3 separate regions of the Mus musculus genome follow, and regions 1 and 2 are each reported to be linked to region 3. Evidence: microRNA targets listed by miRTarBase, many of them from high-throughput screens and not tested one by one. Region 3 holds a microRNA gene; each other region holds the end of a gene's coding sequence.
Evidence for each region. Region 3 holds the annotated microRNA mmu-miR-5135 (AGGUCUAGGUGGCAAGGGCGUCCU, at 1,744-1,767, opposite strand). A microRNA usually pairs through its seed, bases 2 to 8, with sites in the 3' UTR of a target mRNA and lowers its output. Matches are read on the target gene's strand: a 7mer-m8 pairs with bases 2 to 8, a 7mer-A1 pairs with bases 2 to 7 and ends in A, and an 8mer does both.

Region 1 (4,245 bases), not on the chromosome of region 3:
TCAATAAAACATTATGACCACTAAGCTGTGCTCAGATTTTGGTTAAATATGAGTAGGTGACAAAGAAAACCCTTTAAGCAGCTGAACTTAGTGAAAATTGCTTTAGGTCTCCTTGGCCAGCCATTTTGTCCAGGCTGGCATTGTCTGGCATCGTTCCCCACACCCAGCCCAGGTGTGGTTTTTTTGTTTTGAACTTTTTTTCAGAGAAGAGTGGATTGTAGATTGTGATGGTTTGAATATGATTTGCCCATGGGAAGTGACACTATTAGGATGTTTGACCATGTTGGGAAAAATCATCACCGTAGGAGTGGGTTTTGAGGTCCTATGCTCAAGTTCCACCCCAGTGTGGATGGGAGTCCCCTCCTGGATGCCTGAAGAAGACAGTCTCTTCCTGGCTGCCTTTGGATCAAGAGATAGAACTCTCAACATTTCCAGTACCATGTCTGCCTGCACACTGCCTTGTTTCCTACCATGATGATAATGGACTAAACCTCTAAAACTGTAAGCCAGCTCCTGTTGTGGAAAATATTAAAAAAGAAAAAAAAAATAGATCCCGTACATTCCCACACTTGTGTTTCTGTACCAGAGGTCTGGCTGGACATGCACTGGCAGGCAATGGCTGACCTGTTTTTATCTCATGAAGATTCTGACTCAGAACTCCACAGTCTTTCCACCCAGCTTGCTGTGGGGAGTGGGTGTGATGGTAGTCCCAAGATGGCACCCAGGACTGCATCCAAGTCTTATGACTTGCACCTGACTTCCTCATACACCCGAAAATAAGCCACATCCATCTTGAGAGCTGTGCAGGCACACTATGATGCAAGATCAGGCCATTTAACAAAGGCCAATGAACTGAGATTACTCGGGCTGGGCTGATGGGGCGTGGTTGAGAGGTTATATAGGGGATTGCGATTGGGGGCTAGTGAGAGATTCCTGCTTGCATGTTGAAAGGTTCCTGAATAAACTACTTTGAGAAGAACGCTGTGTCGTCGCTCTTTTCTGCTGGTCGGAGACAGAAGAGACAGCTTGCTAGGTACCTGCTGACATACATCATTACCACCTCAACCCCTTGCTTCAAATCTCCCATGGCGTTTATAGTGCACATCTGGCAAACCCATCCTTTGCCACTGTACCTTTTTCTCTCTTGAATCCAGACAAGCCGCCATGTGAAGGAAAACACAAAGTAATTTCATAAACAATGGTAACTCAATCTCTGGATGCAACAACTAAAACCTAATCTTGTAAGCCTTATTAAAATCTGATTCCCCTAGTGTCCAAACCTTGCAGATCTGCCATGGTACCAGAAAACTCTAGCAGCTACATCATACCCATATGCTATTCCCATTCCAAAAGGGCTGTAACTCTCTCCTGCTTCCCCTCTTCCAACCTAGAAGTCCTGCCTACCTGCCCAGTGATTGGCTCCTTTATTCATTAGGAGATTGGTCCACAAGAAGTCATTTGAGAATGACTCACTTCTTGTCCACAACCCCTCCCAGGAAAGCAGAATTAACATACAAACAGGACCAGGCCCATTCACAACAAGCCCCAATGAACTGCTTTCCTTTATAAGAGCTAGCTTGATCATGGTATGTCTTCAAAACAATGAAACCCCAACTAAGACACAGATCACTGACATAAAAGAAAACAATGTAAAACAATTAGAACAACTTAAAAGTGCTACCCCACTCACCATTGGAGTTGCCACCCTGGGCTGATAGTCCTAATGATAAAGGAGGCTGAACATGCTCTGAGAAGCAATCCAGTAAGCAGTACTCCTTTACAACCTCTTACCTCTAAGTTCCTGCCTTCAGTTCCTGCCTTGCCCTCCCTGGAGGATGAACTCTAAGCTACAAGATGAAATAAACCCTTCCTCATCTCCAAGTTGATTTTAGTCATGGTGTCTTATCAGCAATAGAACCTAGCTAACACAGTTTGCAATGGCAGACAGGTCTCTTGGAAAAAGTCAAACTGATGTACACTACCTTCTGGAATGCTTTCCCAACAAGCATTCTGAAGCAGACTCTGTGAGAAGCTGAGCAAGGGATCCAGCAACAATATCTGCTACTGGGCAAGAATGGGGTGTGGAGGCATTTGTTGAAATACAGCCGAAATTCTTGACTAAGACATTTGTGAATTAGCATTCTGAATATAAAATAAAATACCACTTTCACTTTCATTCATCTTTAGTTTTTAATAGCAAATAAGAGAAATAAAATATTGTTAACAGTTATGACTCATGTTAACAAAAATCTGTGCTCTATAGGAAATTCTTTGTGAATTCAATATCAAGGTTCAATGCCATATGTCTTAAATTCATTGTTCATAAAGGAGCATAGAAATCTTATGTCACTTTTTCAAATAACACTGTGAAATAGACTCAGCTATTGTTTTAAATTGTGTTAATTTGCACATATGAATGTATTTTTATATAATACATATTTGAATTAGACACATGTACATGATAAACATGTCAGACCTCAATGCTGCACTCTTGTGTTCAGTGGAAGCCACCATTAATTTTCTTATAGGTTAAAAAAAAGTCTATTCATATACAAATATATGGGGATAAACACATATATATGTACACAGAGTACAGGGACACACATACACACTCTGTCCACAATGAGAACATACTATATAGATGGTTTAACAATCCATTTTCTATACTTAACAATATAACAAGTATCACTCACTATCAACACATTTTCAGCTGTTTTCCACTTTTTTATGAACCTCTTAACAAAATCTAGACAAAACCCCTTAAAGTTTTCTACTGAAGTCTTTAAATCTAGCACTTGGGAGGCAGAGACAGACATATCTCTGTGAGTTCAAGGTCAGCCTGGTCTACATAACAAGTTCAAGGCCAGCCTGGTACACGTAACAAGTTCCAGGCTAGCCAGGACTATATGGTGAGATATTGTCTCAAACAAAACAAAACAACTCCCGAAAGTTTTCTACTAATTCAGAAGCTAACAGAGACATTAACAAAGAAAGCTAGACAATACCAGAGGATACCCTCACCCTCACTTGTATTTTACACAAGGCGGTAAGTATGCAATAAGAATAAATACAAATTAAATACTAACTGTGGAGCTTAAGCACACACCTAGAAAGTTCATGAAGTGTCATATTTTACTGTTTGTTGCTCTAATTCGTTAACATTTTCACAACTGTGTGTGTGTCTGTGTGTGTGTGTCTGTGTGTGTGTGTGTGTGTATCTGTGTGTGTCTGTGTGTGTGTCTGTGTGTGTGTCTGTGTGTCTGTGTGTGTCTGTGTGTGTACATGTGTCAACCTTGAGTACTGTTTCTCAGGAACCCTCTACCCTATTTTTAAAACAGTTCTTTTTTCTTGTGACCTATGGCTTGCAAATTAAATAAGTCTGGTTGGTCAGGAGTTCTCAGGACTCTCCTGTCTCAACTTTCCCAATTGTGAGATTGCAAGAGCATGCCCCCACATCTAGCTTTTTATCAATCCTTAGGGATGGAATTCAGATCTCTGTACTTGCTTAACAAGCACTTTACTGATTATGATATCTCCTTATTCACTCTTTTAAAAGATTCGTATTTTAATCTAAATATGGAGACAATTTATAATAAGTGTAAAAATACAGTATTTTCTGTTTAGGTTTGGGATCAAGGTTAAATTTTATTACCATCTTATGTAAAGATCCATATTCAAATTCTCTCATGTATCACCAGGAATGATTTCCTAAAAAAAGATATTCTAACATCATCAAATTGAGAACATCTTTAAGGTTAAATAATACCAAACCAGTCAGTTGTCAGGTTTCCTACATTAATCTTCTTCCTCAGATTGTTCTTCTGAGTGAATTTTCATATGTTTGGTAAGAGAGGCATTTTGCTTGAAGGCTTTACCACATTCAATACATTCATAGGGTTTCTCTCCAGTGTGGGATCTCTGATGAATAACAAGTTGTGATTTTGCATTGAAGGCTTTTCCACACTCATAACATTCAAAGGGTTTCTCCCCTGTATGAGTTCTCTGGTGTACGATGAGGTGTGACTTCTGACTAAAGGCTTTCCCACATTCAACACACTCATAGGGTTTCTCCCCTGTGTGAACTCTCTGGTGTTGGGTAAGGCCTTCAATCTGTTTAAAGGCCTTACCACATTGATTACATTCAAAGGGGCAGTCACCTGTATGAGTTCTCATATGGTAGGTAAGAGATGAGCTATGTCCAAAGGCTTTCCCACACTCATCACATTTATAAGGTTTCTCCTTTGT
Region 2 (4,245 bases), not on the chromosome of region 3:
ATAAAAATGGATGCTACTGTGGTGAATTTGACACTGAGCACAGAGGACAACTCTGCAGGACAACTTATAGTCTGTGCTTTAGGTGTGTTCATGGAACATTTGTGTGTGTGTTAACTTTAGAGCAGTGTGCATTATTTTTTGAGTATGTTGAAGACCCTGCGAGACTGTGGCTGGAGGTGAGTCACTGTGTTTATTGTTGTGTTGTAGATATGAGCAAGACAGTGGACATGACAGTGGAAGCGAGGACGCCTGTTTTGATTCTTCACAGCCCTTTACATTAGTTACTATAGGCATGAAGAAATTTTTTATACCCAAGTCACCTACTTCCTCTAATGAACCAGAAAACAGAGTTCTCCCCATGCCAACGAGTATAGGGATTTTCCTTGACTGTGATAAAGGCAAAGTGAGCTTCTATGATATGGACCACATGAAATGCCTGTATGAGCGCCAGGTGGACTGTTCGCATACAATGTATCCGGCCTTTGCCTTGATGGGCAGCGGAGGAATTCAGCTTGAGGAAGCCATCACAGCAAAGTATCTGGAATATGAAGAGGATGTGTAGCTTGGACACCCCACGTGACTGATGAGGATAAGAACCGTGAACAAAGCCATGCCTTGATGTTAATCTAATTACATATCATTTACGTCTCTGTCACCACACCTGTTTGTACTGTGTGATTCTTTGTTTTGTCTTGTCCTGCTGTGACACACAGGGTCTTGCTGTGTAGTCCAGGCGGGCCTCAAACTCTGTTCTGTTATAGCCTCTGGAGGGCTAGGATTATAGGTGGGCACCACCATCCCCAGCTAGTGTATGGTTCTTAAAACTCAGAAGGACTTCACAACCTTGTCTCTTCCACGTCATTGTCCTACCTATTACAAATGGTGGGAGTGGAGGCTTTCTGTCTTAACTGGTCTAGAATAGATAACTTTACAATGGAAGTCCTTCTCTTTGGCCACAGGGACTCTAATTGATGTAAGTCTAATTGGTTATTCATGTCCCTTTGTTTGGGGGCTGGGGTGGGATACAAAGTATTTATTGTGGTTCTTTGAGCTTGTTTTTTTTTTTTTCCTTTTCATTTTGTATCATGTTCATGTCCAAAGAGAAGATATTTTTGAATGCTTACTGATAGAAACTAGTACTAAGCCATGTGTCTTGCATTTGATGTTAATAGAAAAATAAATTTATAGATAGGTAAAATGACAAAGGCCATAAAATGGTAGTATATTTAAGTAGAAAGTTGTGTATTTTAAAGTGTGTAACTACTGAGAATATTCATCGCCTGGCAAATGAATACTGCTTTTTTCCCTGTAGACCACAGACTGTATTAGTAAGGACATCTCTAACAGTGTCCTTGTTGTAATGCCCATTGTCTGGCACATGTAACAAGCATCGTTTCATATAAAAACACAGGGTTCTTGAACCCGTGCAACTTTTCACTACAATATAATTATTTCCAGGAAATGTTATCTTCAAATTTTCTTACTTTAGAAAATATTCATATTTATAGCAAAGAATTATTTTTCAGAATTACTAGGGAAGATGGACTGATAGTGAACACGTGTCTCTTTGTGTCTTGTGAATTTTATGGGTTTGGTACTTATGTTGTACATCAGGGTTTTATGGTTTTTGTTTACAAATCTGAGAAGTTCACTGCCCATTTTCAGCAGCATTGAAATACCAGACATGTTACATGTTACTACTGTCCAGTTGGATGGCATTATTTGTGGGCTCATTGTGTGGTCATAAGCACTTGTAGTGTGAATCAGTAAAGTACAAAATTCCTAGGAAATAATATGGAAAATCACAAGGATGTGTCTAGTCAGTTTTTATATCTTTTCTACATTGAATGTTAATTTCTGCAAAATTACCTTCTGATTATTTGAATTGCCTTTTTAAAAGTTAAAATGTCCAGACACTAAGACATGTTTTCAGCACTGATCATGTATGGAATGTTAACATTTTAGTAGAATAACCAAAGCTGTTTATTTTATTTATTTTTTCGAGGCAGGGTTTCTCTGTGTAGTCCTGGCTGTCCTGGAACTCACTCTGTAGACCAGGCTGGCCTTGAACTCAGAAATCTGCCTGCCTCTGCCTCCCAAGTGCTGGGATTAAAGGTGTGTGCCACCACTGCCCGGCTCTATTTGATTATTTTTAATGGAAGCCTGTTAGGCCAATCACACTGCGTCTGACGCAGCACTGACTGACACACACACACACCCCTAAGCTCGTGTAGAAAGGTGTGGAGGATTTGTGTTTAGTGATTGTCCTTCCTCTCCCATTTATATGTAGCACTTTATGACATAGGAAACAGAGAGAATGTGCAGTGTTACCTGGGTCATTGTGCAATAAAGCTGCTAGTGTCACCCGTGTGTGGGTTAGTGTGATACTCAATACTCATGTGAGCACATGTCCTGTAGACGTTTTAAAATATAAAGCTTTAACAGGAGTCAGAGAAGGAAGCTGTTCAAACACTGTATCACTCTATAGAAATTGCTTAGTGGAATTTCAATTTTTAATAAAAAATAAATAAATAAAGGGAAGCCAAGTGTAGTTATTCAAGTCTGCACTACAGGGATTTTTTACTCTGCTTTGTGGAAAACCGAAACAGAACACTTACTATAAGATGCTTTGTGGCACATGTTAATTTTTTTAATTAAAAAAGATTTATTCTTAATTACATGTATGCGAATGTGCATGTACACATGGATGTGAGCGCCCATGGAGGCCAGAAGTAGCGGATGCCCTGGCGCCAGAGTTAGAGGTGATTGTGATCTACCCAGCACTCGTGGAAAGGAACTGGAGACTCCTGGACCAGCAGTACTCACTCTTATTTTTATTTATTTTTTTAAAGATTTATTGATTTATTACATGTAAGTACACTGTAGCTGTCTTCAGACACTCCAGAAGAGGGAGTCAGATCTTATTACAGGTGGTTGTGAGCCACCATGTGGTTGCTGGGATTTGAACTCAGGACCTTCAGAAGAGCAGTCAGTGCTCTTAACTGCTGAGCCATCTCTCCAGTCCACAGTACTCTTAACCTCATATGTTAGTTTATTATTTTGAACATTTATTTAATTCTAGTATGATGCAGCTGATCTATTTCAATTGTCTGCTTATATTGTCATTTCTGGTCCACAGTTGATTACATTTTACCAGGTTTGCCTGTGTGCTTACGTGCAGGTGTGTGTGTGTGTGTGTGTGTGTGTGTGTGTGTGTGTGTGTGTGTATCAGAGAACAAGCTATGGAGAGTCAGTTCTTTTCTTTCACAGTATCTAACCTGGATTTTTAAACTCAGATCTCCAGACTGGCAGCAAGCACCTTAGCTCTTAGCTGACTCTAGATGGTTTCTTAACTGTTAACTTTTTTTATTTTTAAAGGCCAAGTACATTAAGGCTGGATTCCACTCATCTTTGTCTTATTTTCCATAAATTCCTTCCTCCTACCTTGGAGTGTAGAGACGCACTTGCCACCACTTAAGACGTACTAAACTCTCCATACGATTTTAATAAACCACACCTTGCACAACCCTGGATTTGCCTGTCTGCCTTTTGACTCAATCTTTAGCTGGTTTTCAGACAACAGGACTGAGGGTTTGTTTTTTTTTTTTCATAATGACTTGCTCATCCACTCCCCATTGGAGGGTTGTATTAATAATCTGAGGTTACTTCAGTTTGTTAATTAAAAAGCCTGACCTGTTTTCCGGGAAAGCAGGATAGTAGGGTTCTGGTCGATTTTTTTGTTATTACATAACACTGAAAAGCAGCTCCTGTGGAGTAAATGTAAGAACTTAGGTAGTAAACCTGACCATGACCAGATTGGCTGATAGCTCATGACGCTTGCTTCCCAGTGAACACAGATAACTTGAAGAGCTTGTTGAAAGCTGATTTTGATCTCTCAATCTCCTGTCCTTTGAAATGGGCAACTGATACACTTCTCTTAAATCGCTACCAGAGTTAAAATAGGGTGCACAGAAAGCTGTTAGCATAAAGCCTGGAATGGGTACTCAGCAGATAAGCATTTGAAGTGATTAATCCCACCCAGCAAATCTTTTAGTCAATTGTCGATATATTTTGCAAATAACCAACTCTAGTGTCTTAGTTAGGGTTTCTATTCCTGCACAAACATCATGACCAAGAAACAAGATGGGGAGGAAAGGGTTTATTTGGCTTACTCTTCCACATTGCTGTTCATCGCCAAAGGAAGTCAGGACTGGAACTCAAGCAGGTCAGGAAACAGGACTGATG
Region 3 (4,245 bases):
AAGCAATTAGAAACAACTCGAGGCTTTAGAATCAAGTTCAGAATGGACTAACAAGTGTCTAGAAGGAAGTGGAGAAAGAGCTGGCTGGCTAAATGCAGTTTTCCCTGTGGGTAGAAACTCCCAGCTCTACCACCCACTAGCAGTATGACCAAGCCTCAGTTTCTCCTGTAACCGCAATTGTTCTTGTAAAATGCTCAAAGGTTAACACAGTAAGCACTCCAGTGTCGCCCCCTCAGACTACGCCCCTTGATGCAATTGATCTTGGCCAGACTGCTCCATCCTTAGAGCCTCAGTATTCTTCCTGCAAAATGGGAGTAAGTGTATTCCTGCCTTAGTGATTATAAAGTGCAGTGCACTTGGTAGCACCATTCCCTAACCATTACTATCATCAACATTTTATTTTTCTTTTCTAGCTAAGGAGCCAGTCATACATTCAAAAGTTTTAAATCTCTGGATTGGGGCTGGGGGACGTCTTTGGAAGTTGGGAGTTTAAGATTAGTAGGAAAGGACTGGTAAGATTTAACAGATTAGAGAAGAAACCAGAAACCCAGAAAGTTCGAGGTGGGAAGGAGTGGGGCTTCTCCCTTTCCCATCCCACCCCGTAGTTTTATCTCTCTCCCCCGTTCCCGGGTAATCTTGTTTCTCACCAGTGCTGTCCTCTAGTCTGCCGCTCTTCAAGCCTAACCTGTGGACTAAGTAACGTGAGCCTTACTTTCTGGCCCTCCCGCAGTCAGGAGCAAGGACTACTTTAATCTTTACTCTTCCCAGGGATCCCGTTTCAAAGTCACCTGAAAGCCATTTCCTCTCTCTCTGCCCCGCCCCTCCCCGTAAATCACTAGGTGCTTGCTTTTCCCTGGGGCAGCTTTTTTTTTTTTTTTTTTTGAGGGCAGTGGTGGAGGAGGGGATTTTATAAGCTATTTAGGATTTTCACTTGTCTACACTTGGCGGTCTAAATGCTGAGTTACTGGGGTCGATTCTCCATTCCTGTTCCAAGAACCTGGTGCCATCGTTTAACGCAGGAGTCCTACTTCTTCTGTGATCTCACACTGGGCTCCCATCTCCTACCCCTCTTCATGGTGCGTACTGGGGACAGCATCTAATGCTACCTCCCCTAAGATCTTTACCAATGAAAGATTTATTCTTAGTGAGGTGTAGTAGCGCACACCTATAATTCTAGCACTCTGGGGGATCACTCAAGAGTTCTGGGCTAGCTTGGGCTACAAAGTGTGGGCCTGTTTCAAATCAAAAAATAAAATAAAAACAATAATTAGGGCGTGGTGGTGCACACCAGTAATCCCAGCACTCCGGAGATAGAGGGTGGAGAACCATTACTCTCAAGATTACCCTCTGCCAGTCTCAGATAATTGAAATCCTGCTTCAAAAACAAAAACCACACAAAAGATTTATGTTCTTGCTCAAAATCTAACTGGTTTGTATTCTATGTGCTTGTGCTAATCATCCCCCAATTTTCCCATCCCCTAATTTCCCGGTACATGCCTTTTGTTGATAGATCGCACTCAAAATGGGGTCCACTGACATTCAGGTTCCTCGATCAGTTTTTCTCATTAACAGTCCCACTGAGCGCCGCGCCCCGCCCCGCCCCAAGTTATGCGCTTCTTATCTCTTTCTCCTCAGAAGGTAAGATTTTACAACTGTAAAGAGCCACCGAAACCTAGTTTCGGCGAGGAATTCGAGACGTGCCTTTCTGACTCAGCGGTCGTGGTGACCTGCTCCAGTAGGACCAGGACGCCCTTGCCACCTAGACCTGCGCTTCTCCTGGGAAAGTCTAGGTGGCTGGGCTCCGAGTCCTCTCTGGTCGGAACCTGGTCTGGAGGCTTTCGTTGCCCTCTCGGCGTGATATCAGGGCGGTGGCACTAGAGTAACCCCACCACGTGCGCCTTGGGATCCCAGAGTTCCAGGTGGCAAGGGGAGGCGGCCAGCGGGACCCACACGGCGGGCCACGCGCGTTAATCATTAGCCACGGCGGCCGCTGTCTACAGCGGGAGCCACAGCTCGCTCGCACCGCCGCGAAGGTTCCCCCGGGCCCCCCAGAGCCGCCAATTGCTGGATCGCAGCCGCGAGCGCAGTCTCCACCCACTGGAAACATTCCTGGTCCGCCCCTCCCTGGCTCCCTCCCTCTCCCTCTCTCTCTCCCTCCCTCCCTCCCGCCGCAGCCTGGACTCCGGCCGCAACTTCCTGCCCGGTGCTGGGGAACCGTGCGCATTTCGGGGGTCCCCCGGCGTCTGGTGCTCGCAGCGAGCAGAGGCTGGGACCGCGGGGCGGCCAGCCGTGGGCGGGAGCGGCCGGCGGCCTCTGCCGCTTCCGAGAGCGACTTTCAAACTCGAGCCCGCTTCGCGGCGCCACCTGGGCAGCCCCGCGCGCCTGGCGCGTCGCGAGCCGGCGGGGCGGCCACCGCTTGGTGAGTGTCCCTAGGTTTGCCTTTCTCTCTTTGCCCATGCTCGATTGGCTGAGTGGCAGCGCTCTGCGGAGACCCCAGGCTAGCCCTCTGTGGGATGAGGACCTGGCCCCGAGCTGCCTCGGACACACTCGGAGGAGGTTGGGTCGCGGGAAGGTCGTAAGGGGAGTCACTTTTTATCCCCACCCCGGAAACCAAAGCAGCATAGGCTTTGCAGAGTTTGAAATCCGGGCAGCTCTCGACATTCCCGCCACCCCTTCCTTGTGTGCCCTGACGCCCGTGGGCTAGTGCTTGCCTGAGACTGTGGGCTCTTCTAGAAGGACTCGCCTCTGGTCCCGCCAGCCCAGGAGTGCGCAGGCACTCAGTCTGTTCTGGGTTGGTGCCACACCGTGCTTCTGGGAATCTCAGCTGCATGTCCAGGAGGATTAGAGTGGGTGTCAGAAGCCAAGTGTCCAGGAGCTGCAAATCTAGAGCCCCTTGATGCTGCCCCTAACAGCCTCTCCTTCACTCCCTTCAACTGGTTTGGTTATTCACACCCTTCTCTCAGACCTTTGATTTGGGAAGCTTCAAGCTTCAGTCGTTCAAGATGCTCCTTTGGTGGTAACGATTTATTCTGCGGCTACTTTTGAAAACAAAGGGGGGAAAAAAAAACCGGAACAAGCCGCATGATGGTTGGAGGGTGGAGAAAGCGGCGCTGCGAGGTGGTGCTAAAAGTTGGGTGAGAGTATATCGTCTAGAGTCGCTAAACTCTTGGTAGATTAAGGGCTGTTAAGATTGTTAACCCTCCCAGCAACCGATCAGTACTAGAGCACCTTACAGAGAACCCTAGTCTTAGGGTTCCCAGTCTTCCAAACTGTGCTTGTTCAAGAGTGCATTCCAGTCACAATGAACCCTTCAGAAATAATTAGTGTGGAGTAAAATGACAGCCTGAGAGGGAGAGGCGATGTTCCCTGCTGTGCCTGGCCTTCCCCAGTCCCTCTGCTAAACTGGAATCTTGTGTTATAGATGCTCAGCATAAAACCTAGGGACTAAATACCAGAAAGCCAACTGTGGCGCTGCTGTTATTCCTTATGGTTCTGGGCTCACTGGATGGCTCACAGACCCCATCTCTCATGTAGACAGACTACTAAATGCCTGCTTGCCTCTGCTGGCCGCACTCTCTGGACTTTCCCGCTGGTGCTGGAAATCCGCTTTCACCCCTTCACTTAGTCTGGGCTGATAAGGGTGGTAGTCTGTTTTAGAGTGGCCTTGGGGCTTTTCTATTGACTTTTTATCAGAGGTGGCCCGACTAGGAGAGTGGGAAGACCACTGGGCTGAGAGTCCGACAGGATTTTTGCTAGAGGTTTAATGCTGGCTGTATTGCGTCACATCAGAGACTGATCGGGTCTGAGGCTTTTTTTCTTACATGATTGGCCTGAAGCCAGATCTCACCCTCTCCTCACTCACTTATCTTTTCTGACTCAGTTTCCATACAGAGCAGCCTTTTTTCTTTATAGGGGATGTGGTAACAATAAAGGGGAGAAGGGTGTATGAGAAGTAGTCCATAAACTCCTATCAAAAAAAAAAAATAGCTGTGTAGTGGCTACAAGGAGCCCTTACATGTTTGCTGGTTATACCCCATGTGTGACACAGGAGATGGTGGACACCAGGAGCCAATTGTGGCAGTTTACACTCTCTCTGGCTTGTAATATCATAGTCCCAGAGTAAATATTGACTTTACCAAACCCGCTGCTATCTCAGGGTCACCGTGTTTATGCTTAGAACAGGCCAAAGGCCACGGCCTGAGCGATGGCCAGACCCGGAGGGAAGGGAGGAAGGTGCTGGTCCCA

Region 1: miRTarBase lists Zfp37 as a target of mmu-miR-5135. Seed matches in the 3' UTR shown: 7mer-A1 at 2,841-2,847.
Region 2: miRTarBase lists Trim36 as a target of mmu-miR-5135. Seed matches in the 3' UTR shown: 7mer-A1 at 1,310-1,316 and 7mer-A1 at 2,051-2,057.

What each region holds. Positions count from the first base shown.
Region 1 is chr4:62,187,369-62,191,613 of GRCm38, forward strand. Zfp37 (zinc finger protein 37) reads right to left here. Exons shown (of 4, transcript NM_001290351.1): 4 at 2,169-4,245. The coding sequence ends at 3,796. Among named protein-coding and RNA genes, the nearest start is that of Zfp37, 19 kb to the right of the region's middle.
Region 2 is chr18:46,163,730-46,167,974 of GRCm38, reverse strand. It overlaps Trim36 (tripartite motif-containing 36), which reads left to right. Exons shown (of 10, transcript NM_001170855.1): 10 at 208-2,675. The coding sequence ends at 562. Among named protein-coding and RNA genes, the nearest start is that of Gm52355, 23 kb to the right of the region's middle.
Region 3 is chr12:76,531,400-76,535,644 of GRCm38, forward strand. It overlaps Mir5135 (microRNA 5135), which reads right to left and starts at 1,813; the gene lies at 1,735-1,813. It overlaps Plekhg3 (pleckstrin homology domain containing, family G (with RhoGef domain) member 3), which reads left to right and starts at 2,161. Exons shown (of 19, transcript NM_153804.4): 1 at 2,161-2,419.